Arabidopsis thaliana: one gene and its partners. The protein of the gene in region 4 interacts with the protein of the main gene of each other region in a pairwise test. Each region holds a gene or a part of one and is shown on either strand. Other genes may lie near its edges. The genes, in order: AT5G18150, MYB6, AT1G54770 and AT2G46550.

Evidence for each region.
Region 1: the proteins of AT2G46550 (region 4) and AT5G18150 interact in a two-hybrid assay, tested with the Arabidopsis thaliana proteins (one large-scale study listed by BioGRID).
Region 2: the proteins of AT2G46550 (region 4) and MYB6 interact in a two-hybrid assay, tested with the Arabidopsis thaliana proteins (one large-scale study listed by BioGRID).
Region 3: the proteins of AT2G46550 (region 4) and AT1G54770 interact in a two-hybrid assay, tested with the Arabidopsis thaliana proteins (one large-scale study listed by BioGRID).

Annotation. Positions count from the first base shown.
Region 1 is NC_003076.8:5,996,479-6,003,958, forward strand, and holds AT5G18150 (Methyltransferase-related protein), read right to left. Parts: upstream 4,077-7,480; 5' UTR 3,854-4,076; coding exon 3,716-3,853; exon of another isoform or gene 3,629-3,715; coding exon 3,536-3,628; 3' UTR 3,328-3,535; downstream 1-3,327. Other genes in the region: AT5G18130 (uncharacterized protein), read left to right, coding at 571-687; AT5G18140 (Chaperone DnaJ-domain superfamily protein), read left to right, coding at 1,757-2,065, 2,411-2,479, 2,598-3,221; AT5G18160 (F-box and associated interaction domains-containing protein), read left to right, coding at 6,292-7,431.
Region 2 is NC_003075.7:5,989,091-5,996,989, forward strand, and holds MYB6 (myb domain protein 6), read left to right. Parts: upstream 1-3,817; 5' UTR 3,818-3,928; coding exon 3,929-4,191; intron 4,192-4,500; coding exon 4,501-4,948; 3' UTR 4,949-5,168; downstream 5,169-7,899. Other genes in the region: AT4G09462 (Carbohydrate-binding X8 domain superfamily protein), read left to right, coding at 7,770-7,899.
Region 3 is NC_003070.9:20,430,435-20,439,145, reverse strand, and holds AT1G54770 (Fcf2 pre-rRNA processing protein), read right to left. Parts: upstream 4,597-8,711; 5' UTR 4,344-4,596; coding exon 4,132-4,343; intron 4,052-4,131; coding exon 3,991-4,051; intron 3,914-3,990; coding exon 3,836-3,913; intron 3,750-3,835; coding exon 3,637-3,749; intron 3,437-3,636; coding exon 3,331-3,436; 3' UTR 2,985-3,330; intron 2,855-2,984; 3' UTR 2,693-2,854; downstream 1-2,692. Other genes in the region: AT1G54775 (Plant thionin family protein), read left to right, coding at 1,132-1,362; AT1G54773 (uncharacterized protein), read right to left, coding at 2,363-2,394, 2,487-2,523; AGL85 (AGAMOUS-like 85), read right to left, coding at 4,749-5,234; AT1G54740 (FANTASTIC four-like protein (DUF3049)), read right to left, coding at 7,408-8,307.
Region 4 is NC_003071.7:19,109,010-19,117,842, reverse strand, and holds AT2G46550 (uncharacterized protein), read left to right. Parts: upstream 1-3,636; 5' UTR 3,637-3,851; intron 3,852-4,370; 5' UTR 4,371-4,385; coding exon 4,386-5,579; 3' UTR 5,580-5,882; downstream 5,883-8,833. Other genes in the region: AT2G46560 (transducin family protein / WD-40 repeat family protein), read left to right, coding at 270-557, 634-807, 916-1,139, 1,300-1,433, 1,534-1,755, 1,846-2,024, 2,163-2,273; AT2G46540 (fiber), read left to right, coding at 6,162-6,240, 6,603-6,685, 7,121-7,156; AT2G46535 (uncharacterized protein), read right to left, coding at 7,523-7,594, 7,690-8,145.

The DNA of each region.
Region 1 (7,480 bases), on a different chromosome or scaffold from region 4:
TTAGATGGGTGTGTAATCTCACATTTGACTTATGCCGTCTTAATCAGATAGCATTAATTTTAAAATTGGTTCCCTTTTTTTTTTTTATCAAGCAAATTGGCTCCTAATGCACGAAAACATGTCACTCATTTGAGATTTTGATCTAACAGGGTAAATCAAGACAAATTAGCTATTAAGTTTGGTTTGCTTCCCTAATTGTTGTTAAAGTTAGATCTCAACTTATACATATTCCTGTTTGATTGATTGAATAGTAAAGTTGTTTGTGTCTTTGATACAACGAAAGTGATAAGGATGCGTTTGGCGGTGTGGCCTATTACGTGTCTTAGTGAACAATCAATAATTGTAGAGAAGATTCTTATTTTGTCTTTGTACGTTTTGTGTTTATCTTTTCTTGCGTCACCCTCACACTTTGAACCAAAACACGTTTATATAATAACGTCATTGTTCCTTGCATATCAATAATAGCTAGAGCCGCCTAGAGATGTTTGGGACCGAGTTAGCCATTATTGATATATAGATTTATGATTCAAAGTCGTTGATGTGTGATTGGTTTTAAACTCGTTATTGCAGCGGATGAACGAGGTAGTGAAACATGCAACAAAGCTAAATGAAGCAATCTCTGTGATGAAAGGTCTTCCGGTGGCAAGAGCTCAAATATCTTTTGGAGGATACTACGATGCACTTTGAATCATAGCCATATAGCCATAGATCCAATGTCTTCTGCTTAATCGCCTCTATAGCTTATGTATTTACGAATTTAGGAAATTCAATATAAATAATGGTTGTGAAATTTTACATTCTTTGTCCGAATGCATACTACATACTGGCTAAGCCGACGCCTACATAGGACCAGGGCGGACTCAAAATATCATGTACTCTGAGCTGGGAAACATATATAGGCCTTATTTTCTATGTTTTTCGGACAAACAAATTTTGGACCCTAATTTTAACAAATGTAGTTATATATAAATAAATAAAATGTGGACCATGTGCATGAGCACCTCTAGCACATGTTTGGAACCGGCACTACGTACGACAATACGACATCAAGTTCTAGCGAACGATGATATATACTTATTAAGTCGTTAGAAAATGCAATAGGTAAATGATATATATACAAGAACAAGAAAAACAAAGATAATACACAAGAGAGTATAAACTTAGTATTTTGCTATTATGAATAAGTAAAAAATTATGTATTTAAATTCTTGTGTCAGTTGTTCGGTCACTATACAAATTCAAACCTAATACAACATAACCATCATAATACAACATAATTGATGTATAGAAAAGTGCTATCATCAAAACGATTTTAATGGTGCGAAAGATCCACAATTAAATAGTTTACCTAATTGTTTCGATGTAGAGAGTCCAAAATTTTCGAGAAGTATCACAGTTCAAACAAAAATTCAAAGATGACTAACAAATCTCACTTTAAATTTCAAATGTAAATGCCTACAATGATGTAGTTTGGTGTAAAACTTACTAAATCTTTTGATAAACAAAAACATGGATTTGAACATGACACAATGACAACACTAATTCAAATCACTAGCCTACATATCTAAGGGTTTAGTTCCTTGCGCTTGCAAGGTACATCAACTGAAGAACAAGCCCAATAATATCTAAAGGCCCATAATCTAACCCACCAGTTAATTTTAACGGTCCTCCGTCAAAGTCGCCTCTCTTCTCCTCCACCACTTAACGTCAGTGGTCCGTTTGACAAACAGACCTGTGACTGTGAGTGAAGAAGATAATGCAGACTCACCTTTTGGTGGGACCTATCCCACTCAAAGGCTACCGTCGATTCTCTTCCTCCTCCTTCTCCGGCGATCTCCTCCCTCCGTCGTCTAACCCTATCGGCCGAGACCTATTCCCTCACCGTCGAAGGCACCGCGACGGCAAATCTCGGAGTTACCGTAATCGCTCGAAAACGACGATTACTAGTGCTGCGTTTTCTTCAAGTTCTAATACCGGCGGGCAGAATCATTACGCTGTTTTGGGCATCGCTCGAAACGCCACACAAGGTGACATCAAGAGAGCTTATCGTTTGCTAGCTCGAAAGGTAAAGAACTAAGGAAATGCTCGTTTAGTAAATTTCTCTAGTTTTGCATCGTTTGGTTTGATTGATTGTTGCGTTAAAGATGTGAAATTTGCAACCAGTATCAGAAGTAGTTGAGAACACGACCAATTTCTTCTAGCAACATGATTTGGGTAATAGAAAAGTTTAAATCTTGTGTTTGTATAAGTTAGCAACATGTGTCTGGAGTTTGGTGGAACCTGTTCTCTGTATTCTTATATTTCAATTTAGCTCTTGCTCACTTGGATACTGAATGAATAACCTGTTCTCTGTATCCCTTAGCTTTGTTTGGGTTATGTTTGTGACTGTATCCTTGTGTTACTATTGCAGTTTCATCCTGATGTTAATAAGGACTCTAAAGCCGGAGAGCTATTCAAGAGTGTCCGTTGTTCCTACGAAGTCAGTATTCCTTCTCAAGTGTCTTTTTTCCTTCTATGAGAGTGTTGTTGTTCTTGGAATTCAATGTAACATCAATAGATGAAATCTTACTCACTTTACCTGTATTGTTTTTCAAAAGGTACTATCTAATGAAGCTACAAGGACTCAGTACGACAGAGCACTTAAACTTCAAGAAAATTCCCGGTTCCATAGAGTGAAAAGGCACAGCTACACCCCTGAGGTTGAAGATGCCATGAAGTATTACTACACCTGGTCTGAGAAAAGACAAAGATCCAGACACGGGAGATTCTATGGACACTATTCTACATATCCAAACTCACATTTCTACGCTGAGACCGAGCCGCAAGAAGAAGAAGGAGTAGAAACAGCACCAGACCAGCGAGACTCATTTGTTGAAGCTCTCAAATCCGCCTTCTTATCGATGTTTCTTCTATATACATTCGGTTGCCTAGCATCTCTCACATTTAGCACATTCACAGCGTTGCTCGACAAGGAACTCGACATGGGTTACAAAGTCGGATTCATGATCGCTTGGATACTTGGCGGAAAAGGCGGTATCCTTCTTACTCTCTGCTTAACATTTGCAAGCTGGCTCTGTGGGAAAGCAAGCAGCAGCGTGGTGGTTCTTGTGTTAGTAGCAATGTGGGTTGGCTCTAATTTAGCTAGACATGCTCCTCTTCCACAAGGTGCTCTTCTCACCCTCCTCTACATGTCAATCAAACTTCAAGTCGACTCAACCTGAATCTTCTGTAAGTTTCCACTACGTTTTAGATTGTAAATAGCTAAGTTACATTATTTGTATCCTATGATTTGGGTCTTGGAGAAAAATGATTAGTAGTAAAGAGAAGAAATTGCTTGAAGGTTACAAACTCTTTGTTATTCTTTTTCCAAGATTACAAATCAATGAATCAAAAGTTACAAAATTCAGGAGAAAGATTAGAACAAATGAATACTAAACTCGTAAAGTATCATTATTATTGTTTCTTACACTTTCTGCACAAAGAAGAAACCAAAAAAAAAAAGATGAAATCTTTTCGTATTCGTTCATCATCATCTTCATTGAGATTTCTCTCTCATTTCCTTGAGATTCCTCCAAAGGTATCTTCCGCTAGCCATATCGACGAACACCCAAAACCCATTCTCCATCTTCTGTTAAAATAGCAATTCAACAAAGAAACAGAGAAATTAGAACAAATCACCAGAAATTAACGAAAAAGGAACGAGATTTATGCTTACCTTTTTGAGATTGAGTTCTTGTTTCTCATTCAATTCGTCCGGTGAATCGAATTCCGGCGAAGAACTCACCGTCTTCCATGCGAAATATCCGGCGAGTACAGCTGAGAAGAACACCAATAAGAACCTCATCGGACACATATTTTTTTGAATTGGAATATGATCTCAATGTGTGACGAAGAATGAGAAGTTTTAGGGTTCGTAAGATTCTGGGAAACGAAGAATTGTGTGAGAGAAGAGAGAGATATAGAGAAATTATAAAGGGGGTGAGATTGAGATTACATGTCTCCCCTCTCGCCACTACGAGAAAAAGGAAACGCGTTTCTGAATCTTTCAGCAATGAGGAAAATTTAGGAATTGGTGGTTTGATATATACGTCAATTACATAAAGACCCACAGTGTTTTCCATATTTATAAATTAGCCCCATTTCTTTTAATGTTTTTTTTTTTGTCAATTTTCTTTTAATGTTTTATAAAAATCCTAATTTCTACGAGAATGTCATGAGTTGAAAGAATTTTCACCCATAATGTTGAAAATTTGAAGCGAATTTTTGAATTAAATTAATGATTATAAAGAGTCACTATTAATGGGAAAAGTAGAATTTAGATTCTTACGTGAGAAAAAATAATTTGTATTGTTATGTTGTGTTTCTTATGCTATATAGCTTGTTTTTTTTTCTTTTCCAAATAGATATAGATTTGAGAAGAAAACAATTGAGAGGTGTGTTGAGTTAACCATGCAAAAGTTAGGGGGTCTAAATGAGATGGTTATTATATTAAAGGGTAAAAGAAAGCCAAAATAAGTAAATATAATATATGAGCCTCTAGAAGAGGCTGACCTCAACTACCACTTGAGTAGTTGTATTATTGTATCATCACGTATGATGAAGATTTTGTCAACGGGACGCAATTATAGAATTGAAATAACTCTTCTAAAATAGTCTAATTCTTTTTTGTACAATTTAAGGCGCATTCTAGAAAATTGTCAATGTCATATGTAAAAGAGTTAGTTATTTGTCATATCGATTGTTATGAATGATTATGTTTGGCTTAATGTAAATTCTTGTTAGATCAACAAATTAATGATTATTTGGTAGAACATCGGGTTCTTCATGGCAGAATATTGTACGAGCAACATCTATTTGAAAAAGCAATTTCAACCATACATGGAAATTTTCAAAAGGTAGAGGTTTAAACTTTAAAGCTTCCACGAAACTAAACCCTATTGCTTTGTGAATAATAAGTTTAGGATATTACTTTTGTACCAAGGAAAGAAGGCAACCAAAAAAAAAAAAAAACTAATTTATGTGAGCGTTTAATTCATAACTAAATGGAGATTAGAGCTTAAAGTTTTGGATTTAGGGTTTAGTGGTATCCGTGCTTGTGTTTAATGGCTTCTCATATGATAGTATTAGTACCTTATGAGGGAAGGTTAGCCATAGTTAATACTAGAAATTTCTCTTCTACTGAGCTATGGGTTTTTTGAAGGATGGAGACAGACACGAATGGATGCATAAACACTTTGTTTTACCTCTTTCTGGGACACACCCAATACGAAGGAAACATCTACATTTCAAGGGTGTTAGTGATGCTGGTGTGCTTATTTTTGCTTCACAGAGTTTGTCTAAATCGTTTTATATTCTACATTTTAGGCGATGAATTTAGGTGCCGTTATGGACTTGATAAAGACGACGGTTTATACAACATGTATTTTTTTCCAAACCACATCGAGACTCTTGTGTCTTTCTAAAGCAGCGCCTTCATAGCTCAATGATCAGTGAAACTTACTTTTGATGCAACAATTATAACTCTTTTTATATCTTTGATTTTTCTTGTGTTCGTTACTTGATCATTCCTTTATAAATTTTTTGCCTTTAGTGTTTGTAATCTTTATTTGACCTTTCCTTGATTTGGTGTGCCTTTGTATATTATTGCATAACTTCAAGTCCCAACATAAGTTTCTGAGTTGTATAAAGGTTTGGCAAATCAGAAACAGAACTTCTTCTCTTAGTTTAGAGGGTAAGATAGAGAAGAATCATTACAAAACATGAAGAAGATAACCATGTTGCTTGCTCCACAATCCATCAAGATTAACATCTGTAAGAACCATATGAAATTCTGTTCTTGGAGATCCCAAGTTGACTTTGAAGCATGCCCTAATGAGCTTTGATCTCAGATTTAAAAAGTAGAATTATCTAAATTTGGAGGATGCAGAAAATCACAAACGGTCAATACAAACACTTTTGTTAATTACCCTTACAAAAAAAAATGGAAGTTGAAGGGTTGTATATCTAAAACTATAAAATAGAAATTATGAAATATTAATTTGGATAATTACAATTAACATAATTTGTTTTTGCCTTTTATTCTTTTCAAGTTTACCTTATTTCTTTCTAACTCAAGTTTACATATAATTTGATTTTTCCATTTTTCCTTTTCAAGTTTACCTTATTTCTTTCTAATTCATCTTATATATTTAGTAGTATAGCAGACGGAAGAACAAATAAGCGTTAACTTAAAGAAGACGAACGAACAAATTAGGTGAATTTTAAGAAAGCAAGATTGTGGAACGATCGGCCATGGACAAACAAGACGAGAAGAAGCAGGGAACAACAAAATCTTCATCTACATTGACGACAAGATGCTCACATGGTAATCACATATCTCAGTCAAACTCGATTCCTCTCGACATAACCATTGAGATACTCTCAAGACTTCCTGCGAAATCAATCGTCAGATCTCGCTCCGTCTCTAAGCTCTGGTCGTCCATTACCACCACACCAGAGTTCATCAAGCATCGGTCCAAGAAGACATCACCACCTTGTGTTCTACTAATCTTCCGAAAACACGACAAGCTGATCGTTTTCTCGTCTCCCCAACACCAGAATACTTATTCTCATGTGCAAGATTATCACATTGAAATCCCCAAGAATGGTTTCATCCGTCGTCTTGATTCCGTCCACGGTTTGATCTGCTTAGAAGGTTCTAAACAGCTCGTGATTTGTAACCCTACTTTGAAACGATTCTTCCCTTTACCTGAGCCTCAAGGCACCGGTGACGAATACAACGTAGGAGGGTTTCTGGGATATGAACCGATAGAGGGTAAATACAAAGCATTGTGCATTGTCAGAGGATGGAACACTCAAGTTCTTACATTGGAAATTCAAGAATCATGGAGAGTAACCAAACCTGGCTATACACATTGGCCTACTAAAGATACTGGACGATGCATTAATGGAGTTATCTACTATAAAGCTATTATATTTGATAGGGTTCCAAGGCATGTTATATTTGGCTTTGATCTCAGATATGAAGAGTTTACACATATTGAGTTTCCGATGCGTAATTATGACCGCTTTCTTATGGTATCTTATGAGGGAAGGTTGGCTTTGATAAGTTCCACTAGCTCTGTTGTTGAAATCTGGAGTTTGGAGGATGCAGGGAATCGAAAATGGTCGTATGAACAGTTTCATTTATGTCTTCCTCCCAACACAAGTCTGAAGGGTGTTATTGATGCTGGTGAGCTTATTTACACAGGATTTAGTTTGAATAGATCGTTCTGTGTTGTGTATTTTGATCCTAAGAAAAACAATATCAGAGAAACCAAGTTTCAAGGAATTGCGGATAACCAGATTTGGCAACCTGATAGACTTGGATTTGATCTTGTGAATGACTTTTATGTATTACCAAATCACATTGAGAGTTTCATCTCGTTTTAAGAGATTTCATCTTTTTGCATGGAATGACACTATATATTTCTGAAGTGTT
Region 2 (7,899 bases), on a different chromosome or scaffold from region 4:
TTATTTCAGTGTTTATTGCATATCAGAAATTGGTTGAGAATCAACTTGGTACAAAAATCAAAGAGTTTCAAAGCGATGGAGGGGGAGAATTTACAAGCAACAAATTAAAAGAACACTTTAGAGAGCATGGCATTCATCATCGTATATCTTGTCCATATACACCGCAACAAAACGGTGTTGCCGAAAGGAAGCACAGACATTTGGTAGAGCTTGGGCTTTCAATGTTATATCACAGTCATACACCTCTCAAGTTCTGGGTAGAAGCTTTCTTCACTGCCAACTATCTCAGTAATCTCTTGCCTTCTTCTGTCCTCAAGGAAATAAGTCCCTATGAAACTTTGTTTCAACAAAAAGTTGATTATACACCTCTCCGAGTGTTTGGTACAGCCTGCTACCCCTGCTTGAGACCGTTAGCAAAGAACAAGTTTGATCCACGCTCGTTGCAATGCGTGTTTCTTGGCTATCACAACCAATACAAGGGATACCGCTGTTTGTATCCTCCTACCGGTAAAGTCTACATCTCTAGACATGTCATTTTTGATGAAGCTCAATTCCCATTTAAAGAAAAGTACCACAGTCTGGTTCCAAAATACCAGACGACCTTACTACAGGCTTGGCAACATACTGATCTCACACCACCTTCAGTGCCTTCTTCTCAATTACAACCTCTTGCAAGACAAATGACTCCTATGGCAACAAGTGAGAATCAGCCAATGATGAATTATGAGACAGAGGAAGCCGTCAATGTTAATATGGAAACTAGCTCTGATGAGGAAACTGAATCAAATGATGAATTTGACCACGAAGTAGCTCCCGTACTAAATGATCAAAATGAAGACAATGCACTAGGACAAGGCTCATTAGAAAATCTCCATCCCATGATTACAAGATCAAAAGATGGAATTCAGAAGCCAAACCCCCGGTATGCTCTCATTGTCTCTAAATCCTCTTTTGATGAACCAAAAACTATTACTACTGCTATGAAGCATCCTAGCTGGAACGCTGCAGTTATGGATGAGATAGATCGCATTCACATGCTAAACACTTGGTCTCTAGTTCCTGCAACAGAGGACATGAATATTCTGACATCCAAATGGGTTTTCAAGACTAAACTCAAACCTGATGGCACCATAGATAAGTTGAAAGCTCGTCTAGTTGCCAAAGGGTTTGATCAAGAAGAAGGAGTCGACTATCTTGAGACATTCAGTCCGGTTGTTCGAACTGCAACTATACGTCTTGTTCTCGATACCGCTACTGCAAATGAGTGGCCTCTCAAACAGCTTGATGTGTCCAACGCGTTTCTCCATGGAGAATTACAAGAACCGGTGTTTATGTTCCAACCCTCTGGTTTTGTTGATCCTAACAAGCCTAATCACGTTTGTCGGCTCACCAAAGCTCTTTATGGTCTAAAACAAGCGCCTAGAGCCTGGTTTGACACCTTTAGCAACTTTCTTCTTGACTTTGGCTTTGAGTGCAGCACATCTGATCCTTCCCTCTTCGTTTGTCATCAAAATGGGCAAAGTCTCATACTCCTCTTATATGTCGACGATATACTCCTCACAGGAAGTGATCAACTGCTCATGGATAAACTTCTTCAAGCTCTCAACAACCGCTTTTCGATGAAAGATCTTGGGCCTCCTCGCTATTTTTTGGGTATAGAAATTGAATCTTACAACAATGGTCTATTTTTACATCAACACGCATACGCTTCCGACATTCTTCATCAAGCAGGCATGACAGAATGCAACCCTATGCCTACCCCTCTGCCACAACACTTGGAAGACCTCAATTCAGAACCCTTTGAAGAGCCAACATACTTTCGGAGTTTAGCTGGCAAGTTACAATACTTAACAATCACAAGACCGGATATTCAATATGCCGTGAACTTCATCTGCCAAAGAATGCACGCTCCGACCAACTCTGATTTTGGCCTTCTCAAACGCATACTCAGGTATGTGAAAGGAACTATCAACATGGGGCTTCCAATCAGAAAACACCACAACCCTGTTCTTTCGGGATTTTGCGATAGTGATTACGCTGGCTGCAAGGACACTAGACGCTCCACTACTGGTTTCTGCATCCTCTTGGGATCTACTCTGATATCTTGGTCTGCAAAGAGACAACCCACTATCTCTCACTCCTCAACAGAAGCCGAATATAGAGCTCTTTCCGATACAGCTCGAGAAATCACTTGGATTTCCTCTCTTCTCCGAGATCTTGGAATCTCTCAACATCAACCTACACGAGTGTTCTGTGATAACCTATCTGCTGTCTACCTCTCTGCAAATCCTGCTCTTCATAAACGATCTAAACACTTCGATAAAGACTTTCACTACATCAGGGAACGTGTGGCTCTCGGTCTCATAGAAACGCAACACATCCCAGCAACTATTCAACTTGCTGATGTCTTCACCAAGTCACTACCGCGACGGCCCTTTATCACGCTTAGAGCCAAACTCGGCGTGTCTGCGTCACCGGTCTCACCCACGCCAAGTTTGAAGGAGGGTGTAGAAGACAACCCAATAAATAGAACGGGCTTTGACAAAAACAAAGACATGGTAGCCCAAACTCAACAAAGCCCACTACAGAAGCCCAGTCAACATATGCAAAAGAAGATAAAGACCAAAAGCTCTTTACCTGCAAAACAGAAGACTGTCACTAATACGGAGAAGAAGACAATAACACTTGAAAACAAATTCAAGCCGTTGCAGTCGCTGCCGTTGCAGTAATTCACAATAAATAGCTATTGATTAAAGATAGCATTGTCAAGGATTCTAGATTGTTCTAAAGAAGTCTATAAAAGAAAGATGTAAAACTCCATTGAAAGATAAGCAAAATAAAAACATTTTTTGTCAAGAAATAATCACAGTTTTATTTTTCTCTTCAGGAACAACTAAAAAACTGTATTTAACTAAAACAATTCAGAACTCCTTCATACGACGTCGTTCTTTTGTTAATTTTAAATTTAATTAATGGGAAAAATGTCATTAAAATCTTCAACTCATTGCAAACATTGATTTAAATCCTCAACTCTCGACGAAACAAAATAAATATTTGACTTTCTAAATAAATATCTAATTTTTGTTGACCTGGCGATATTAGACACACTGTTAAGTAAATTACTAGATCCCGTTAACGGAGTTAATTTTTTTGTTAACAGAGGCCCATTAATGCAAAACGTTATTGTTTCCAACAACAGAGTGACGTCGTTTTGTAATAATGACTGAACTAAATTCCCAAATTCAATCTAAGATCTCTAAATCAAGCAAAATTCCTATCTCTAAATCCCCATATGATTTGAAACTGGAGATTTAATTGAGCCGTTATGACAAAAACGATGACGTTTTATTGTTAGAGTAAACGTTGTCGTTTTCAATCAACGAGTATGTTAACACACTAAACGTTCAAGGTCTATTAACCTACTGAACATCATGCCTAATATAGTCATGTCAACAAAAGTTTGATATTTATTTGAAAAGTCAAGAAGGTTTGGTATTTATTTGGAAAGTAACATAAGTTTGATATTTGTTTCGTTCGCCGAGAGTTCAAGATTTAAATCAAAGTTTTCAATAAGTTGAGAATTTTAATGACATTTTTTTCCAAAAGATAACATGTTTGATAAATATTATTTTTGCATTGTATTTTTCTTAACTACCAACTAAATTATAAGAACAGTGAGAGAAAGAAAAAAACAAAAACCAAAATCTAAGGAGAAAAAGTAAAGAGACAAGAAAAAAAGAGAAAAGAAGGTTACTTACTTACCTACCTAATCTCCATTACCCCACACACAACACAGCAAAGCACAGCCTCACTTTATCTCCACATAGTCACATGTACATATACCAAACTTAGTCAAAGTCTCCTCCTTTTTATATAACCCACAAATTGATCTCTTCTCTCTTCTCTTACACCATCTTCTTCATTCACCATGGGAAGATCTCCTTGTTGTGAAAAAGCTCACACAAACAAAGGAGCTTGGACTAAAGAAGAAGATCAACGTCTCGTAGATTATATCCGTAATCACGGTGAAGGTTGTTGGCGTTCTCTTCCTAAATCCGCTGGATTGTTGCGTTGTGGTAAAAGTTGTAGATTGAGATGGATTAATTACCTTCGTCCTGATCTTAAACGTGGTAATTTTACTGATGATGAAGATCAAATCATCATCAAACTCCATAGCTTACTCGGTAACAAGTACGATAACTTTTTCCTCTCTTTCTCTTCTTCTAAAAAAACAGAGTGAAAATAGAAAAACAGAGTCACTTTTTTTTTTCTCCCTACTCTTGTTTCTAGGAAAAAGATTTCAACTTTCTAGGAAACAGAGAGAAAATAGAAACTGGGTCACTTTGTTTTCCTGCTCTTTCTTCTTCTTTGATCTTTCCCAGGAAAAAAGTTTCAACTTTCTAGGAAACAGAGTCGTTCACTTTTTTGTTTCCTCTGTTTTTGTTAAAGCTTTCCTCTGTTATTGTTATTCATATGAATTTGAAATGTTTTGTTTTGCAGATGGTCATTGATAGCTGGAAGATTACCAGGAAGAACAGATAACGAAATAAAGAATTATTGGAACACTCATATTAAGAGGAAGCTTCTTAGTCACGGTATTGATCCACAAACTCATCGTCAGATTAACGAATCCAAAACGGTGTCGTCTCAAGTTGTTGTTCCTATTCAAAACGATGCCGTTGAGTATTCTTTTTCCAATTTAGCCGTTAAACCGAAGACGGAAAATTCCTCCGATAACGGAGCTTCGACTAGCGGCACGACGACGGACGAGGATCTCCGGCAGAATGGGGAGTGTTATTATAGTGATAATTCAGGACATATAAAGCTGAATTTGGATTTAACTCTTGGGTTTGGATCCTGGTCGGGTCGGATAGTCGGAGTCGGGTCATCGGCTGATTCTAAACCGTGGTGCGACCCGGTGATGGAGGCGCGTTTGTCACTGTTGTAATAATTTGTCAAAAAAATCCCAAAAAATGGGTTTTGTTACTTCATTTTTTTTTTTGCTTGAGTCCTTTTGGATAAATATAGAAATTCTTTACTTCAGTTTCTTTGGTATTTTTGTTTTAGTTTTTGTTCATATTACCTTTTGAAGAAAAAGAAAAAAAACGATACATGGTTTCCAAAATAATTTTATGGAAATATATAAGAATATTACACCATTGTCTAGGAATGCAAATGAGTAATTTGAATTTTATTTTGACAATATTGTTATAAAATGTAGAAGTATAAATGTAGGAGTGAAATGTGAACATGGTTGGTCCCTTTTGGACTCTTTCTTATGGATCAACCGTTATCCATTTTTACATGTTGGTATAGATCATAGTTTTTATATGTTTTTTGAAGCAAAAGCTTCTAGAAACTTGAATTAGGTTATAATGGGGACCATATAGTTGCAACTAGCAAGTTTCAACAAATATCTCGTTCACTATGTTAACTATTTTTTTTCATTAGGTTTTCGGTGTTAGTTTATATATAGTGCTAGGACACATGGTCCTCATCTCAACAAACAAACTTCTAGTTTGTAGAACTTTTTATTGTTTAGGAAAAAACTAGAATTGAGAACTTCTATTAATACTTATAGTTGTAGCGTAATTTGGTGCCAACGAAATTAATTAAAAGAACTACTATAGACGTAAACATTGAAAAGGAATGTGAAGAAGCAGCTGATTGGAAGAGATACAAATTGATTACTAAATAAAGAAATATAGAATAAGAGAATAAGATAAGGGAGGAGACATGTGACATGTTTTAGGCAGGTAGGTGGCAGAATCTATCATTAAAACCATATTGTGTACCAAAAAATAATTGACTTTACCTAATCTTTAATAAGATAAATATTTTATATATCAATACTATAACCTTATAGATTATCCGAAACAAATTTGACATAGCCAAGTCTCGATAAAAACATTTATCAATATGATCTTAAGGCAAAGCAAAATGTTTTGTCTTTAGACAAATCTTTGGTCGACGTCAGAACAAGAAAAAAAAAGAAAACAAGAATTGGTTTCGTAGAGATATTATCATATTCATACGCATAAATATATCTAAACAATTAAAGAAACAATAATATAAATGTAAAACAAAAGAGAGAATCATGTGCGTAAGAGGAGGAAGAAGGAATGGGAATGTGAGATTTAGGTGAGATCCAGCCAAACATGACTTCCTCTTTTCCTGGAAATTAAAAAAGAAGTTATCACTCTCATTTTTAATATTAATAAAATTAAGAAAATTCTCTAACGAGTTTAAGTTATTATTTTATATGAATTGATATACCTTTTTACATCTTCTACATAAACATAGACTATAGTCTTCATAATTTTGTAAACTATCAATAGCTAAGTCTAATTAATTTTAGGATCATTTGCAAAACTAACCATATTTGATAAACTATTGAAGTATATAGGACTATATATTTACATGAATTTGCAAGAGATTCATTAAAATCTTCATTCCAGGACTCTAAAATTATAGATCATTTACTAAACATAATTCTTATTCCACGGAACAAAATTGAACCAAAGACTTACAATTTCAATAGTCTATAGTCTAAGAACTAACCTAATCTGTTACTCAACAATTGCAGGCATCGATCGATTAGGTACGGTTAGATTGAAAGATACATCATTACTCCACTTTTGTAGATTATTGGGTCGAGTCTGTCTAAATCTAGGGTTGGAGAAATAAAGGTTTTTTTTAAGCTTTTGACGAGCCCTACTTCTTGAGAAATCAGCAAATAGTGTATGACAAACTACACACATGAAATAAAATACAGTATAGAACAGTAAATTCTTTTAAAAAGATATCCTAAAGTCGTCACTTTAACTAATCGATCATGAAATCCTCCTTAAAAACTTTATAAATCCCTTTAAAACACTTGTAAACTTTTTTAAAATCCTTTAAACCCCTCTTGTAAATCTATTTCCCGCAAAACTTTTCAGAATCAAGTGTCCCGTCAAAAAATACAAGATCACTTCTCTTGCAAAAAGGAAAAACTTTGCGGAACATTTTTGATAAAAAAATACACTTTTTCATTTTTGATTTCAATATTTTTCAAATAGGGGTAAAATATTAATTAACAATTGAAAGAGAGCAAAAATAAAAATGGCCAAAAGTGGGGTATTTTTGAGAGTGAGGGCTTTTCTAACACTTACTCATTAATAGATAATGGATATACAAATATATATTTCTATTTCTTAAATATTTTTAAATCTTAAAGTTTCTACTATCTAGTTACTAAAATGTTTTACAAATATGTCATTTCCAATTTTAAAGATTTATTTAACTTGTCCTAATATGATTAAATAATGTTTTTTCTACTAATACATTATAGACATATCATTTCTGATTATAAAAATATATTTCTATTTTTACCGACATATAATTTCAAATTAAAAAGATAAATTAGTATTTACAAAATATTTCTAATTATAAAGCATATGTTTATTTTCCTAATATTTTAAACTTTTTGATTTTCTACCATCTAGTTAAAAAGTTTTTATAGACATCAATTCTAATTATAAAGATATATTTCTAGATATTTCAAATCTCTTACTTCTACTATCACGAGATAATTTTTTTAATAGACATAACAATTCAATTTTATTCAGATCTTCGACCATAATGAATACTTAGGAATAATATATCTACAAAAATAGAAACATATCGTAAAAATTGGATATATATACATAGACATACATATACATAAACTTACATAGATATCCAAACACTAAATTAGTTGAATATCAATTCAATTGTCAGTTTTAAAAATGGCCAAAATATCATCACCTTTGGCTCTCTTATTCATCATGTTATCTTCCATCATGATCAACCATGTGGCGAGTTCCAAAACATGGTGTATAGCAACTCTAATCGCAACGAATGCGCAGCTGCAAGCAA
Region 3 (8,711 bases), on a different chromosome or scaffold from region 4:
AAAGAAATATATATATTAAGTAAGAAAAAAAATTGTTTTTATGTTCGACTTTTGTTATTGCTATTTTAAACTGTTAAACTAATTTTATTAAACTTTGTTTTTGTTAAATATTCAAAAATAAATAAAATTTACTTCTTATATAAAAAATGCTAATATATTAAACTATTAACCTCATTCTATTAATTTTGTTGTTGTTAATATATTCAAAAAAAAAAATTAAAAATGTTTATAGTATAGGAAAAATATACAAAATTTGTTAGTGTTATTACATAAACTCTTAACATTCTCACTAGAGCGTGACATGTGGTATAATATTAAACTAATTTTGTTTTTCTTGTTGTTGTTAACCCATGAATCCATCAAATTTAAATAGATCAAATCAACATGTAAATTCAATTTGGTTTGTAAGTTAAATGATTACATATCTCTACCCATCAATACAAAAAAAAGGTTCTAGTTTATAATCTTTTTTAGGGGATAATTTCTGAAATAAGATTTTTAAAAATGTGACAATATTATTGATAATGCTTTAGAATTAATACCACAAAAAAATTGTAAGAAAAAAAACTGAATAGAAACTTTTGAAGTTACTCAAATTTAATCTATTATGGGTACCATCTATTGTCTTAATTAGTTGAGTGTTAGATAAATTATTTAGCTAAATTAATTAGGTCAACCTATGAATCCAATAAATTTAAATAGATCAAATCAACCTGTAAATTCATTTTGGTTTATAAGTTAATGCTAAATATCTCGACCCATCAATACGATTTTTTTTTTATATAATCATGTTTTAGGGGATAGTTTTTGAATTAAGATTATAAAATATTTGACTTATTATTGACAATGGTGAAAATTTGGCAATTTTTTTGGTAAATGACGATTTAACATTGCAAGATTGTTTGGACAGCTAATAACATAAACAAAAAAAAAACTAACTTTTTAATTAATAAGAAACGGATATACTTCCAAAATCAATAATTTTAAGTGGATAAAAATACTTTTGCTATATAAAGTACAAAACTACAAAAAGCCAACTCAACACTAATTATCTTGTTAATTTTTTTTTGCTATATAACCTAAACAATATTTTTATTACCTCAAACATTCACAAACTCATATTTTCAAATAATGGCAACTGAAACAATGAAAAAGATATATAGTGTTTTGATGATTGTAGTTTTATTAACGATGATAGTTTCAACATACGCGAGTACGATAGAAGTATGTGTTAAACATTGTGTCCCAAATCAGTGCATGAAAGATTCTAAAACGGCAACTCTTCCTTTTTGTGAGAATTGCTTGCAAAAATCTCTGCAACCAAAACAAATTTGCTCAAGTGAAATTTTACACGCCTCCTGATAACCGCTTTTATGATGGATTTTTTGGGTTTCTATGTAATAAATATTGAAACTTTTAAAAATCTATAAATAATTTATGTGTGTGGTTTCTTATCTTTAAATTAATTAATCTATCATGTTACAAAAAAAAAATTAATATATCATGTATGTATACTAATTTATTTTGTGTTAGATTCTATCTTAGAAACAAAATTCGATTACATGGGTTTGAATTGCGGCCATCAGATTTTATGGTGATGATCACTTCACGATTTATTTACTAAAAATTGGCATATGTGTGAAATAAACATTAGCTATACTACATGTCTATAAACTATACTATTTTCTCAAAACAGAATTGATGTTTAAACTTCTAAATTGCTAATTAAATATTTTTTAATTTTTTTTTTGCATAATTACATTTTAAATATACACTCAATGAAACGTGTTATCACATTTTTACTTATATATGCATTTATATTTGTCCAAAAAATAATAATTACAAAATGAATTTAATATATTTACAATATAAAAGTTATCTTCATTATCTAGTAAAACAATATTGAGAACATTGATACAAAACCATCCAACAATAGAAAAAACCTAACACGAGCTTGCTTGTTTACGACTATCAACTCTGTAGAGAGCCACTTTTTTTTTTTTTTGTAAATGTTAAAGAGAGAGCCACTTTTTCCCCTGCAATCCATAAACCAAATCAATCAAGCTTTACTTCAGGTTTTAGATTTCAAAACCAAAAGAAGAAATTTATGTTGTATAGAGACCAAATGAGCTTCATTAGGTAGAAACTAAGAAAACAAACGATTTACAAGAACAAGGTGTAGATTGGTGTAGATTGCAGTCACAAATGAATTGTTGTTTCAGATATCGGCTCGAATTAGAATCGTGGGATTCAAGTTGGGCTTACGTTGCATTGCAAGCCCATTTCATTGGCCATGGCCTTCAGAGAGGATGGTCTCAGTTTTGAACTCTCTCTCGAGAGAGACATAAGAAATAAATCCGAATCAATCAAGAAAACGGGGACTCGGTTTAGACACTGCCAAAGAATGTGACCAAATCACTTGAGAAAATGCTACAAAGTCTACTAAAGAAGACTTCTCTAACAGAACAGAAAACAAGATTACTTACAGCAGATGTAGAAGAACGTTAGAGGAGTCGGTCTCATCGTGTCTTCTCAAACTAGCGTCTCTCTCTTTCTCAAACTGCCTGTAATCAGCACTCTCCAAGAAACTGACTTTGTCGAGATACTTAGTAAGAAATTAGATTCTAACAACACCGAGCCAATACACAGATTCAAAAAAAAAAAAAAAGCAAGCTTAAACAGTTCAACTTGACATAGATTTAAATCCTACACACACAATTCATCTTCTTAATTCCAAAGAGCTGATATAATATCATAGAACAACGCCGAGCGAAAACAAAAATTCAAACAACTGACCTCAATCTTTCCCCTGCTCGAAGCAGCTGCAGCAATACTCTTAGCCTCCTCATTACAACTATGATTCAAAAGAAGAAAGTCACATAATTTAGATCTTGCTGAATACCAAAGTTTTGCTGTGCTGACATAAATATGTGTGGCATGGTCAGTGCCAGATGACTCAAACAGGGAGGTACTATGAGTGCTACCTGAAAGTATAAAACTCGATGCTCTCGTGGTTGGACCCTGCAATTCTGCAAAAGGTGTAAACTAGGACTCAATTTCAGTCTTGCTGAAACAAGTTTCCCACCTAGTAGCTCTAGACAAGGTTTGGTTTTGGATATACATAACATAAGCACCATAAACAACAAGAGTTATTACAGTTATCAAAGGTGTAACCAATAACACAAAATCCTTTAAACAAAGGCCATAAACAACAAGAGTCATTACAACCTATATCACCGCAAGAAAGTGTATCCAATACTATGACCATATTCTATTAAAAATAGAAAAAATGTGTCCCAAAACTATGATCATACTCTTAACAAAAATAATTCAGTTCCTTCTTGGCTTTGTGTTCTTAGACTGGTTTCCCTTTTTATTCCATTTCTTATTCGTAACAGCTCTACTCTTCTCCTCAATCTCCCTAACTTTACGCTTCCTGTAAAACCATAATCAACACAAAAACATTCACTTAACAAAGATTGCACATGTGCTATATGAATACAAATTCTCAAAAATACAAATTCTTGATAGAATAGATAAACCACACACTTATTTTACTTACATCTATCAATAATACTTACAGAATTTAAGCATTTCCTATACATTGTTTCTTAATAGACAATGGTAGTAACTAACCTGTAGAGAGCAGTTTTAGGATCTGAAACCAACTCATCAGCAAGAGTTGCTTTTCTATTCTTCTTTGTCAATCTCCCATAAAACTCTTCAGCTGGTTCAATTACTGTACCAATCTGTTTTTTTTTTTACAACAAAAGTTTGTGTTAAGACAGAAACCGAAAGAGACGGTTATTCTCTTTGATCTAGTTCTGAAACTTGCCTGGAAATATTTTTCAGCTAGTTTAGACCGTGACACAGATTTCTTGTAGTGTAGAGCAGGATCCATTACAGTTCTCAACTACAATAAAGATACAATTAGAATAATGTAAGGACTATGGAACCTAAAACAACAACAAAAGCAAAAGAATCTATTACCTTAAGCAACTGAAGATCTCTTTTCAACTCAGGAGTCATTGTTGGAGCAGGCATATCAAACCTATCCACAGTTTGAAGAAATACAATTTAATCACAAGCCGGATCAAACTAATCCGAGTAGAGGAGATAAAGAAGAGTTACCAGTTAGAACCAGTAGTGTCTTTGAGTTGTTTTCTAATCATCTTGTTAATCTTCCTTGGATCATTAGGTGGAAGACAAAGACCATCAACAAGCTCTGACTTAGAACTCTCAGCTGTTTTGCTTCTGGTTGAACCAGTTTTCAAGTCTAAGGATAAGCCTGGAAGCTTTGGTTCCCATTTAAGACCGATCAGTGGTTGTTTAGTCTCTGCCATTATTGTAAATTGCCTTTGTTCTCTGTGACCCGGAAACAAAAACACTGAAACTTGTCGAGAACTCGAAGAATCAGCTTGTCGAGAACTCTTCCTAAGCTGTAGAAAGTGAAGAGTAGTAGAATTTTAGTGTTAGAGATCAATGGAGATCGACGGAGATGAAGATTGGAGATATTAGGGTTAGAGATTGAGTAGATGATAGATCACGAATTGGGCCTAATGGCTGTAATGGGCTTCTTTTATGTATAAAATATTTCAGTTTCATTAATCCATTGCTGGATGTTGTAGAAAACAATAACAATTCATAATGTATAAAAAAGAAAAGACAAAAAAAAAAACATAATTCTTAAGACTCAAAAATACTTAATTAGTAATGATCTACTAATTAAAATCTTAATCATTAATGGATCATTTGTTATTATTCTCAGCATCTCCTCTTTGGATCCTTGCAGCAGCTTCATTACACAGTTTCTCATAGAGCCCTTCACACTTTTCCATTATCTTCTTCGCCTCTTCGTGATCTTCCACCTCCTTTGGATCCACTTTCCACCACGCATCCTCATCTACGGGCATTGTCTCCGCTAATGCAGCTGCCTTCTTTACTTTGGCTTCTTCCGTCTTTGCCTCCTCCACCATTCTATTGTATACTTTGCAAAGCTCTTGAATCTTCGCTTGTTGGTGAGCATTCATGACCGATCGTTGCAACGATGATGAGGCCTCACGATTGAGAAATCGCTCTGCCACGGCTTGAAAAGACGGACTGCCGAATGTGTATGGTTTTCCTGAGCAAGAGTATCCGAGAAACGCAACTTCAGCACCACAGAGAATGGAAAGCTCATTGCTTATTGTAGATTCCATTTCGACGCTTAGATAATGTGACCAATCTGTCTTCATCTTTTTCAATTTTTTTGATGTTAATCATTTGCTTTCCTTTGGTTTTCTTGGGATTCATTTTGGAAGAAAACAAAAATATGAATTGACTATAAAGAAAGGAGAAATTTAGATTAAGTATGTGTTTCTCTTTTTTTTTTTTTTTTTGTGGGTGCAAGATTGGGTTTATATAGATGGAAAAATGGTAGTAATTTAAATTGCATAAAAATTAGTCAATCTGTAGATCAATGTTTGGAAGTTTGGTAATCTTTGTTGTTCGCATAGTTAAAGGTTATAAGGATTTTTGATGTAAGGAATTTGACTGTATGATTTTTAAATTAATTGGTAAAGACTGTGATTGTATGAACTACAATTTTAAATAACTACCAAATATGTGGGAGAATAGATTTTAATACAAAAGGAAAAAGTCAATTGAAAGTATTTTTTAAGAAATAATATACGACTATATGTTTTCGGAGTTTATATATATGGGAAGAAAAAAAAATATTATAAGTTGTTATTTAATTATTTCTAAAATTATGTTTACGTGATTTTTTAAGAAAATGAAAGCAAAGAGTTTTCGAAATTTATATATATATATATATATATATGGGATAGAAGAAAAAAAAAGAAATTGGTAGGGGACGGGGAGATAATGCCTCCCCAAATTTATTCATAGCAACATACAAAAACTTAACAAGCAACAACATGCCATCGAATTGCCAAACAACGGGCATCATCCGACAAAAGAGAACATCTTGGAATAGTATCTAAAAAGTGAAAAACTAAATTTAAAGAAAAAGCATGGTTAGCTAATTCATCCGCAAAACGATTATCCTCCCGGTAAATATGTGAAATTTTGATATTCTAATCCTTTGATATAAAGCCATGTCACAAGCGTAACAGGAAAGACAGCGGATAAGTTTCACTAACCCTTATCTTCAGAAAACCAACCACTACTTCCAAATCCATTTTAAGTTCTAACCGAGAAACTCGTTTTCTACATGCGATGTATAGGCCGTAATAAACTCCCCATAAGGAGGTGACTTCCTTTTATTAGGCTTAACATTTCCGTTATCAAAACGTTTCATGCAATCTCCTATACTTGAAGCTTTCCTAGGGAATCAACACGGCTCCTACTCTAATTTTTAACTCAGTTTTCTTATTGCATTTCAATGTTTTGCGGACCACAAACTTTTTCCCTAGCTTTTGTTTTCTTCTCCAAAATTCAATGTCTCGTATCTCAACCCGTCGAAACTTTTCTTCAGTTCACAAGAACTTTTAAATATGCATTGTATCTTGGGGTTATATGTGGCGTAAAGGCCTGTGACCTGTCGATTGTGGAGGGAAATGGAGTCTATAAATGCAACCTGCAATCTTAGAATTTTGACAACATTAATGTTCCAATTTTCAACAGACAGCTATATATGGACGAATGACCAACAATTGGACCGATCAGACAGACTCGTTTGCGTTACATTGCCTTCTATCTTTTCACCTATGTTTTCCTTATTTCTTAATTACGAGGGTCGAAAAGATTTTAACTAACACCAAACTAAGTTCGATTCTAAAACATTAAATGATGAAACATTGAATTATAACATATGAATTGTGGCCTATTCCACTAAGTATCATTGCTGAACTAGTAAAACTCTTAGCCGAAGCTTAAAAATCGTCAGTTCGATATTTTTGGAACGAAACTAATATTACATGTTGTCGTTTCGTGTCTGAGAGGATTACGAGTTTTACTCTAAAATCTTGTATTAAAAAAAAAAAATTGTGGCCTATTCCGGATTCATCATAATTATTTTTAAAACTGGAACATCTAAACTCTAAACTTTTGAAGAGATTATCTGTCGATTTTATTTTGATCAAATTACATAAATAAAAAACGGTGTAATCAAAATTGGAATAATACTTTGTTAAAAAGGCATAATAATATGAAAATTGAAAGTTGTAATAAGATGTTTCAATTATGGAAGTCATATACATAAGCATCTTAAACGAACAATAATATTACACTCACACGCTATCATATTGTTGACACTACTTATAACAACACCCAACCTTTGACTTTTCGAATATTTTATAAAAATACAACGGAACTTCCAGAGAAAATATAGCTGTACTCTTTTTTAGTTGATATATTTTTTGTTTCAAGCCGCCACGTAAAAAAAAAAAACATTGATTAATAACCTCACCTGGTCCTCACGTACGTCCGGGTCCATAAATTCATGTTATTGTTACTATTATGATGATGGTATGGATGAATATGATGACGATGACGATGATGATAATGATGATGATTGTTCTCATCATGGTTCCTACTTGCCACGATCTTAAAACCACTGTTGTACATCCATTCTCTCGTGTCATGGTCATCATGGAAATGTGCAACATCATTATTACTATTCACCGAAACATCATGACTACTTTTACATCTCCAACTTCTTGCACCACTATCATCACTGATTATAGATAAATCCATTCCTTGATTACATGCACCATCATTGTCGTCTTCATTAATCTCTCTACCACATTCCAGATCAGATCTACTAATCTCCCCTCCCTCTTTCTCATTACCTAGACCCTTAGGTTCCTCTTCTAAGGCCACAATTTCTTGAGGACCAGAATAAGCTCTAATGGGATTCTCGACACCATCGACAAAATGTAATCTCAACCGTCCATCTACTCTAGAAACGTGGAAAATCTCTGGTCGATCGACCATAACTTGCGTAAGTTCCAATCTACCGTCTTTTCTCACCGGACGGAGATAAAAATATCGCTGTCCACGGCTGTTTAATGACGAGAGAGGCGGAGGAAACTGTTTTTTCTGCGCTTGCACCACCACATTCTCCTTCGTCTTCCTCCTCTTTGCTTCAACCCTTTCGGTCTCCACCTCCGCATGACAAGTCATCTTGTTCTCCACCTCGTTATCGGACATCCTCATGTCGTAACTCTCAAACCCTAGATACTCTGTGCACAACATTAAGCCATGTGATTGTGTCTCATCATGGCCAAGACCGGATTCAAACGGCATCCCTTTGGTGTTGGTTTGGCCAAGGAAAGAGTGAAAGCTTCTTTTGTAGAAGCTCATCTTGGTAACAAGAGAGAGAGAGAGAGGGTGACAAGATAGATACCTACTCCCCTATTTGTATTATTCTGAGGATTGATGAATAATTATTACACATTTTTTGTTTATAATAGAACAAGAAGAGAGAGAAAAAAAAGTCAAGAAAAGAAAATGGGAAAGAGATAGATGATCGAAAGAAGCGGTGTTTTGCTTGGTGAATAAAGGTGCCACCGAGAAAGATGACCTGTAGAGATTAGAAGAGAACGTAAGATAAGTCCCACGTCAGATGGCTTCACACTTCAATCTCTGTCACTTCTTTTTAATTGGTTTTCTTTCTTGTTTTTAGATATAAAAAGAGGAAAAATGACTATTTTTTTAAAATTTTTTTTTAATTTTTTTTTTGGTTTGTGTGTGTTAAAGGAAAAAAT
Region 4 (8,833 bases):
TTGTAACTTGCCATATGCTACGCACCAAAACTTTAGATATGCAAAGATGAGTCTGCATCCTGGAAAACATCCATTAACCTTTTATCTGTATCCTGCATTCTTGCATCAGTATCTCGAGATAAAATTTTCAGATGATATTGCATGTCCCATATGAAGACCAAGTTTATGTCAATCTGTTGTTATTTTGTTGTTGCAGTGTTTTATTATGCTTAGTGGTAATGTGGCAGGAGACATAGACACATCCCTAAATGTGCATTCGTGACATGCAGGGTATAATTTTCTTTAACCTAGAAGATGGTGATTCTTCCCAAAATCAGTCAGACTATATCTGGTCAGATGCTGACTGGCCACATAATGGTTGGGCTAACTCTGAGTCAACTCCCGTTCCAACATGTGTTTCACTCGGTGTTGGTCTTGGGGATAAGAAAGGAGCACACCTTGGGTTAGGTGGGGCCACTGTTGGAGTTGTTTCTCTTTCCAAGCCTGGGAAAGCTGACAGAGTTCCTGGCTACTCTGGGTTAGGAGCGATAGCGGATCCAGGATCATTTTTTACCCAGGTCACACATAGCTAAAAAAAAAAAATTGATAAGCCAAATGTATATTTTCTCATAACATTAAATAAAATTCACGTAGATCCGCCGGTGGTTAGGAGTCTCTGGTCTAGGTTGGGAAACTCAAGAAGAATTTGAAGAGTTTGTTGATCCTCCCCCAACAGTTGAAAGTGTTATTACGAGAGCATTCTCTAATCACCCGACAATGCCCCTCTTCTTGGTTGGCTCAAGCAACACTCACATATACTTGTGGGAGGTTTGTGCCTAAACACTTGCACCATCTGTTTTAGGAGTTCGGAGTAAATGATATGACATTTCTTATCTATCCTTGTGGATCTTATAATGCAAACCTTGCATGTTACAGTTTGGAAACGAAAGAGCTACTGCAACTTATGGTGTTCTTCCTGCTGCAAATGTTTCCCCTCCTTATGCTTTGGCGTCGATATCAGCAGTGCAATTCGGTCCATTCGGACACAGATTTGCTAGCGCTGCACTGGATGGAACTGTATGCACTTGGCAATCAGAAGTTGGAGGAAGGAGCAATATTCATCCTGTTGAATCATCTCTTTGCTTCAATGGCCATGCATCGTACGTTTCATGATCCTTGAGTCTATAAGTTCTTGTTCACTAATATGCTAAAAACACATAAGTTTTAAATTATTGCTGTCAGTCATGAAAATTACCATTATTTCTCTGTTTCTTGTTCTATTGGCTTCAGCTATTCTGTTTCTGTTATTTATGGTTGCAGAGATGTAGGATATATTAGTTCGAGTGGATCCATTGTTGCAGCTTCAGGATATAGCTCAAGTGGTGCAAATGTCGTTGTGTGGGATACTCTAGCTCCCCCTTCAACCTCCCAGGCATCTATCAATTGCCATGAAGGTCCTCCAATAATTTTTTTTGTAGAAGTGTTAGTATCATTTCCCATAATCACAACTCTTAACAAGTTTTTTTTTTGTTTTGTCCCTTTTCTTCTATGAAGGTGGTGCACGCTCTATCTCGGTATTTGATAATGACATTGGTAGTGGTTCAATTTCTCCTATGATTGTGACTGGTGGCAAAAATGGTGATGTCGGTTTGCACGATTTCCGGTTTATTGCAACCGGAAAGATGAAGAAGCAAAGGAACCCTGACGGTGGATCTTCGACTGATGGAGATCAAAACAAGAATGGGATGCTTTGGTATATACCAAAGGCTCACTTAGGTGCACACCCTAAAGCCTATTTTCACCTTCATATTCCAATTTTACCGGAAAAATATCCTGAAATTTGATTGACATTGATGCAAATTTCAGGGAGTGTGACAAAAATAGCGACAATCCCACGCACAAGTCTTTTCTTGACGGGAAGCAAAGACGGAGAAGTAAAACTTTGGGATGCGAAAGCTGCAAAGTTGATTCATCATTGGCCTAAACTACACGAAAGACACACTTTTCTGCAGCCAAACTCGAGAGGCTACGGTGGAATCATCCGGGTTAGTGAACCAAATCACCTAAAGCATAATCCTTTCATCGTATTTTCTCACAGTGGCTTTGGTTTCTTAGTAAACCAGAATCAAAGTAATGTCGGTGTATGTAATCGAATTTGGGTATGTGTTACGAATTTGGTGTAGGCTGGGGTGACTGACATACAAGTTTGTCCGAATGGATTTATAACGTGTGGTGGTGATGGCACGGTGAAGTTCGTCAGCCTCGTAGATTCTTCCTATGGCGATGCTAAATAAAAAGAAGATACATTTTCCGGGAAAGTTTTGCAGTCGAGAAAACGAGTTATTGCTACCTTGCGTGTGTTTATTGAATACGTGATTTTTTGTGATGTAGTTTTTTTCTCTATATGGTTTAATATTTGTGTATATACAAATATATTAAAGATTATGAAGCAGTAGAATCTTGAGTTGACCATAATCCAGATTTTAATTTATCTTTGACTTGACTTCAATCTATACTCGGAAATATCATCTATTTATCTTTGACATAGTTTTCGTTGACTTTGTTGCATCAGATTTAGACCAGATTAAATCGGACTGATTCCAATTAGATTGGTGTTAAGTGTAGTGCAATAGAACCGAAAATAAACATTATCAAGATTTAGTTCGTTATTGTAATTTTTTTTCTTTCTTTTTGGTGTTGGTTTGGTATTAGCTCGATATAGTTTAATAAGATTATGAAAAATTGACGGCTAGGAACCTGGCCACTATCGTATTACGTAGTGGAATATTATCTTATGGTTGATTATTAAACTGCTCCATAATTTGTGTTGTAGTCTTGTAGACGAAATGATATGAATCATCAAAATGTTTGATTAAAACCCCATTTGCCAAGAATTATTCCTAAAACTATTAAGTTAAGGCAAAGGTCCATTTCATTAATAATTATTCTAAAGAAGTTAGTTGTATATATAGTATATATATAGACTATGGTGTTAATTATGACTGAATATATTAGTGCTCACATAAAGCATCTTATTAGAATATCTTAGATTGCTTAAATAATTATTAACCACGTAATAAATAAATCTCATGTAACACTATCAATTGGAGAATAATGGAGAGAGACAATTAACCATAATGACTTGAAGACACTTGGCTTCACCTAACATTCAATTTCCTAGACGAGGCCACTATTTACATTCTCTTTACCTAACTTTCAGAACTACATTAAACCAAATTGACATGTAAAAAACCTAATTTTATATTTTCAACATGTCTATTTACCATTGGCCACTTTATTACTTAAATGAAAACGATGTCATAAAAAATATTAGTAGACCCTAACTTGAAATTTAAAATTTAATCGATCATTTAAAAATCAAAATCATTCGACGCAATTACTACAAGATTTTTATGTTTTAACCAAACATTTATGACGTAATCTACCATCGCGCGTAATCGTATAGTGATAACTGATAAGATAAAAGGTCTTATCCGTTAAAAAAGGAAAGGGAAGCCTTTTTTAGATCTTCTTTTTTGTCGCCACGTGTAATTAATATCTAATCGAACGGCTGTCAGGTGAAATCTATGGGCAAATCTGTGGACTCAAATACTCATTAACATAACTATGGGTCCTCTCAGAAAACGGTGCCGTTTTGCGGAAGCTTGCGTGCTGAATGACACAGAGACTAAGAAAACGATAATAAACTGCAAAATGATTCAAAAGATTTTAATCGAAAGCAAACAAAAATTCTCTGACAATCAGAAAACAAAAAAAAATCAGAACAACTCTTATCTTCTTCACGAGACTGACTAAACAATCATAGATTTTTCCGTTTTTTGGGTTTCGTCTGGTGTTACTCTCTCCTTCTGGTTAGTTCTTTTTTTCCGAATTCTTACAAATTATTGCGGTTTCATTAAGATGAATTATGATTTGGATCACCATCCGTTGTTTTTGTGTCCGGTTTTGATTCTTAGGTCTAATCGCGTTTCATGTTTTTTTTTTGTGTTCTTCTGGGTTTGATAATTTTATAGTTGAAGTTTTATGAAATTTGATTTCAATTGCAAATAATGATGATTTGTTTAGTAAGTTGATAAATTGACAAAGAATCTGGCTTTGGTTTTTGTTTGCTTCTAAGAAAATTAGGAACTAATTCTTCAATTTACCTGGAAAGCAAAACATATCAGATTCTCTAAAAAGTAGTTTTGTAATAAGCTTTTTTGGTGATGGATCTGTCGGCAATCAGAAAGATTCTTCCTTTGAAATAAATGATTCATATTATTTTTCCTATAAATAGATTCAAAACGGTTAATAAGATTTTGCTAAATCTACCTAATTTCTAAATCACATTGATCTTGAATTGAATTCTCAGTCTCTTGTCTTATCTTTAGAGTTATGGTGAAATAATGGCAGCAGCTGAAGCAAGAGCAGTGTGGCAAAGAACAGTTAATCGTTGCTTTGTCCAAGAAGACGCTAAAAGAGCTCCCAAGTTAACTTATTGCCAATCATCTTCATCCTCAACTGCTTCTTCAACTAAGCAAGTGGAAGTTTCTGGTTCTTCTCCTCGAGTTTCTGTTGAACCACGGACTCAATCATCTTGTGCAGGTTTCATGCCTCTTCCTCGAAACCCGAATTTCCCTGATCTGTTACCCCACAACACCAGACTGTGGAGTCATCCTCATCATCAGTTTCAGGTGAATAAGAAGCAGCCATTGGAGGATGAGGTTAACAATCAAGGTGTATCTGAGAAGAAGTCTGAATTGGGAGCTGGAGAGAAACAAGGAAAGTCTTTTAATTCCGAAAGCTTTCAAGAGTTTATAGAGTTGATGGAGACAAGGGAGAGTTATGGTTCAACTGGGTATGATGAGTCCTCTGAGAAAAAGTTAAGTGAGCTCTCTTTTGATCCTAGCTCGCCGTGGAATCTTCTCTCGAGTGAGAAAGCTGCACCGTGGTGGCGAACTACGGATAAAGACGAGTTAGCTTCCTTGGTTGCACAAAGATCTCTAGACTATGTTGAGAATTGTGATTTACCAACACCGCAGAAGATGAAACGATCTTATTATGGTAGTCCACGTGGTTTTGATTCTGATGGATTGAGAGACTACTCTGTCTCTGGCCAAACCATCAAGGGTACAAGCAAAGGAAGCAGCTGCAAGAACAGACCCGAGGCTTCATCTGAGTCTGATTTAAGCAAATCCGAGCTTCTAGAAGCACTGAGGCGTTCGCAAACGCGGGCTAGGGAAGCGGAGAATATGGCTAAAGAAGCTTATGCAGAGAAAGAGCACTTGGTGAAGATATTGTTGAAGCAAGCCGCAGAGCTTTTTGGGTATAAGCAATGGTTACAACTGCTTCAGCTAGAAGCACTTTACCTCCAAATCAAGAACAAGGAGATTGACAATAAGAACAACGACGATCCAGGGGTTTCCATCCCTTGTTGGAGCAATGGCAAAGCAAGAAAAGAGGGGAGAAAGAGAAGAAGCAAAAGGGGTAAACCGAATGGAGCAAAGTACGCGGTTGGTTTAGCATTGGGGATGAGTCTTGTTGGTGCTGGTTTGCTTCTTGGATGGACTGTTGGATGGATGCAGATGCTATCGTTCTAGTTTAAAGAGAAGAAAAGAGACAAAACTTCATCTTTTTTCTCATTGAACAGCTTGATGATGTTGAAATGAGTTAAAAGATTGGCTTCGAATCAGCTTTTGGATTTCGTTAAGGAGAGAATGTAAATTGTTGTAAGAATTTTGTTAATATTGTGTTTACTAGTTTGATCTTTTCCTTCAAAAATCATATGAAATTATCTTCTTTAATGTGTAAGTAAGTATCTTTCATGTTCATGTAATATCTGCATATATTAACTACTGTACAGTGTATATGATCTTTCTTTCATGTTCCTAGAGCTTCGATTTCTTGAAAATTTAAAATACTTAGTAATTTTTTACTGCTGGAAGCAGAATGAGAAAGAGAAAGATATACAGTATATATATTTTTTAATTACGGCAAAGGTGATTATAATGGGCCGAATTGCGAACATTTGGGCCCAGTAACCCGACCCGACCGGAGATGATCTTTAATTTCGTTTCAGGTGAGAAAATGGTTTACTCAGGAGCAACTATCAATCGAATCAGACATTGACGAGGAGCTTTGGTCGTAATCCGAGGAAGAGATTAAAATCGGAAAGTGCGAAAATGCCGGTCATGGAGAAATTGAGGATGTTCGTGGCGCAGGAACCAGTTGTGGCTGCTTCTTGCTTAATCGGCGGTGTTGGTATGAACCCTAATCTCAATCTTAATTCCTCACCGATCGATCGCATTCTCTTTCTTAGAAAAGGATTTGCTTTGGGATTTATCTAGTTTCTGGAATTCCTCTTTGAATCTATAGAGCTAGTTTGCTCGATTGTAATTTGAGAATATAGAGAAATGCCTGATCCAAATCTCTCTATTCGGAATCGTCATTTCTTTGGGTTGTCAAAGAGAGTGTATTTTAAGGAGTTGAAATTAAGCTTAATTTGGAACCATGTCTTCCATTATCTCCATGTATAAGTAGCAAAAGATTATGTCTTTCTTGAACATTAGCAAAAGGCAATTGTGTTAATATACATTTGCTGATGGATTCTCTTCATCTTGTAGGACTATTTTTGCCTGCGGTTGTGAGGCCTATTCTAGACTCTCTCGAGGCTTCCAAACAAGTTAAAGCTCCTCCACTTACCGATGTATGTATTAGAATATATTTATCTCTGTGGAAATTCCTTTTGCTGCTAAAATCGTCATCTATTTCCTATCTAATGAAATGTCTCTGATGTGGGAACTCTGCATGATAGTTGTTCTTAGTATCCGTGTAGGCGAATGTTTGGACGTTTCTTTTTTTTGCTATGTGATGTAGCCTATACATCATCTCGATGTTTTGTTCCTCCTGCGTCTTCTTGTGATTTGAGAGTTCCATCTTTGGTTCATCCATGCCTTAAAAATCTATGCTTTTCATCATTGGACGAGTGTCATGATCACATTTTGTTACTGCCAAAAATGGATTGGGCATAAAAGAGACTAGTTAGTTATCACATTGCTTAGTTATCCAACGCTTTCCTATATACTCTTTACAGGCAAACAAAGGCGTCAAGTATTAACTCAGATCCAATTTGCTTTTGCAGGTGATTGCTGGTGTCACAGGGAAGAAACAGAGTTAAAACAAGCAATGACTTCCCCTGTTTTCTTACATTCAGATGATCCCTATTCCTTTTTTGTCTTTTACTCTCTCTATTCACAATGAATAAGCCAGACTCATTTGTTTGTTATGAAACTTAATATAAAGGCATGTGTGTACACTCACTTTTGTTCATCACTTGATCAGATGTATTCATTTCTTAACAACAAATGAAAAAAGCTTGAAACTTTTCTTGCCATGGCTCATGAGTCTTAACAACATTATATATGCATATCACACAGATATTAAATTACAGTAAAATTGCTAATCTTACATACACTCTTAATAGCTCTTTTTCATCATCTTGATCCCTCAATAGATAGATAGATAATGCATATTGAAAACAGGCTTAAACACTTCCACTTCTCATCTTCTTGTTCTTCCATGGCATTGCTAGCTTCAATCCCTTGCATAAACTTCCCTGCATTTCCCCAACCAAACCCGTTTCAGCGAAAGACAAGACTTGGGAAGATGAAGAAGTTATGAAGAAGGAGCGGAGAAACACAAATACTTTACCCAAAAGTGAGATCCTTTAACAGAACCACCACCATGGTAACTCCCTGATCTGTTAAACTTCATGATCTTCATGTTGTTCTCGTTGATATTATCTCCTGCTCTCTGATTCTCCGACAGAAAGACATAATTACCCCTCACAACAACATCCCCTCTCCCTTTCCTCCTCAAGAACCTCAAGAGCCCATGTTTCCTCTCGGGCAAGGGCATTTGCGTGAACTCACCAGGAAGGAGCAAACGAGGTGGCAAATCAAGACACTTGGGGTAAGAAAGAGGACGAAGAGGGTGCTTGGGCTTGCCTGGTTGGTCTTCCCAACAAAACGGAACAGAGGCAAGAGTGTGAATCGGAGAAGCAAACACACGTGGACTCGCAGGCGATGAAGTGTACAACAACGATCTTGACTTTGCAGCTAACACAAGTGCAAGCTTCGCCTTCTCTTCTTCCTTGTCTCCTCTCATTTTTATGTCTTCTCTGTTTCTTTCTTTCTTCTTCTTCAGCTTAGTCTTAGGCAGTTTCTTTTTAGGTAGTGGGAGAGTGAAGAAAAAAAAGACAATGCATTAAATATATCTCAAATCATTTGTGATTATTAATGATCCAACGGTGGTTTTTTACTGTTGACTAGATAGACAACCATTCATAAAAGTCAATACTCTTTTGTTATTAGAGGAAATTTGACTGACCACGTCACCAAATAATAGAATCATTCACCAACTAAACTGTTATTATTTGTTCTTACTATTCAAAGAATACATTGTCACTAAAGTTCAAACAGTGTTATTCTATAAGGGATGGTATTTTTACATTTTAAAGCTTCACTATTTACTATAGAGGTGAAAATAAATAAATATCACCCAACTGCTCAAGAGGTAATGTAATAGTAGTACAAGCAGAAGCAACACGTGACATAGCCACGCGCACCTAAACCACGTGAGGCACGTGAACTTAAAATGGCTGAAGGATTTTGCGCTTTGTAAACTTGAGAAAAGAGGCGCGTGAGAGACTGTTATTTGAACCATCTCTTTTTCTATTTGGTCTTCTTAACCATTTTTTTTTCTAATCAATGGTATGTATGTGATTAACATTAAATCATTTTGTATTCATGCAACTGATATACTCTACTACATTGAAGAAATTCTTGTGATCTCA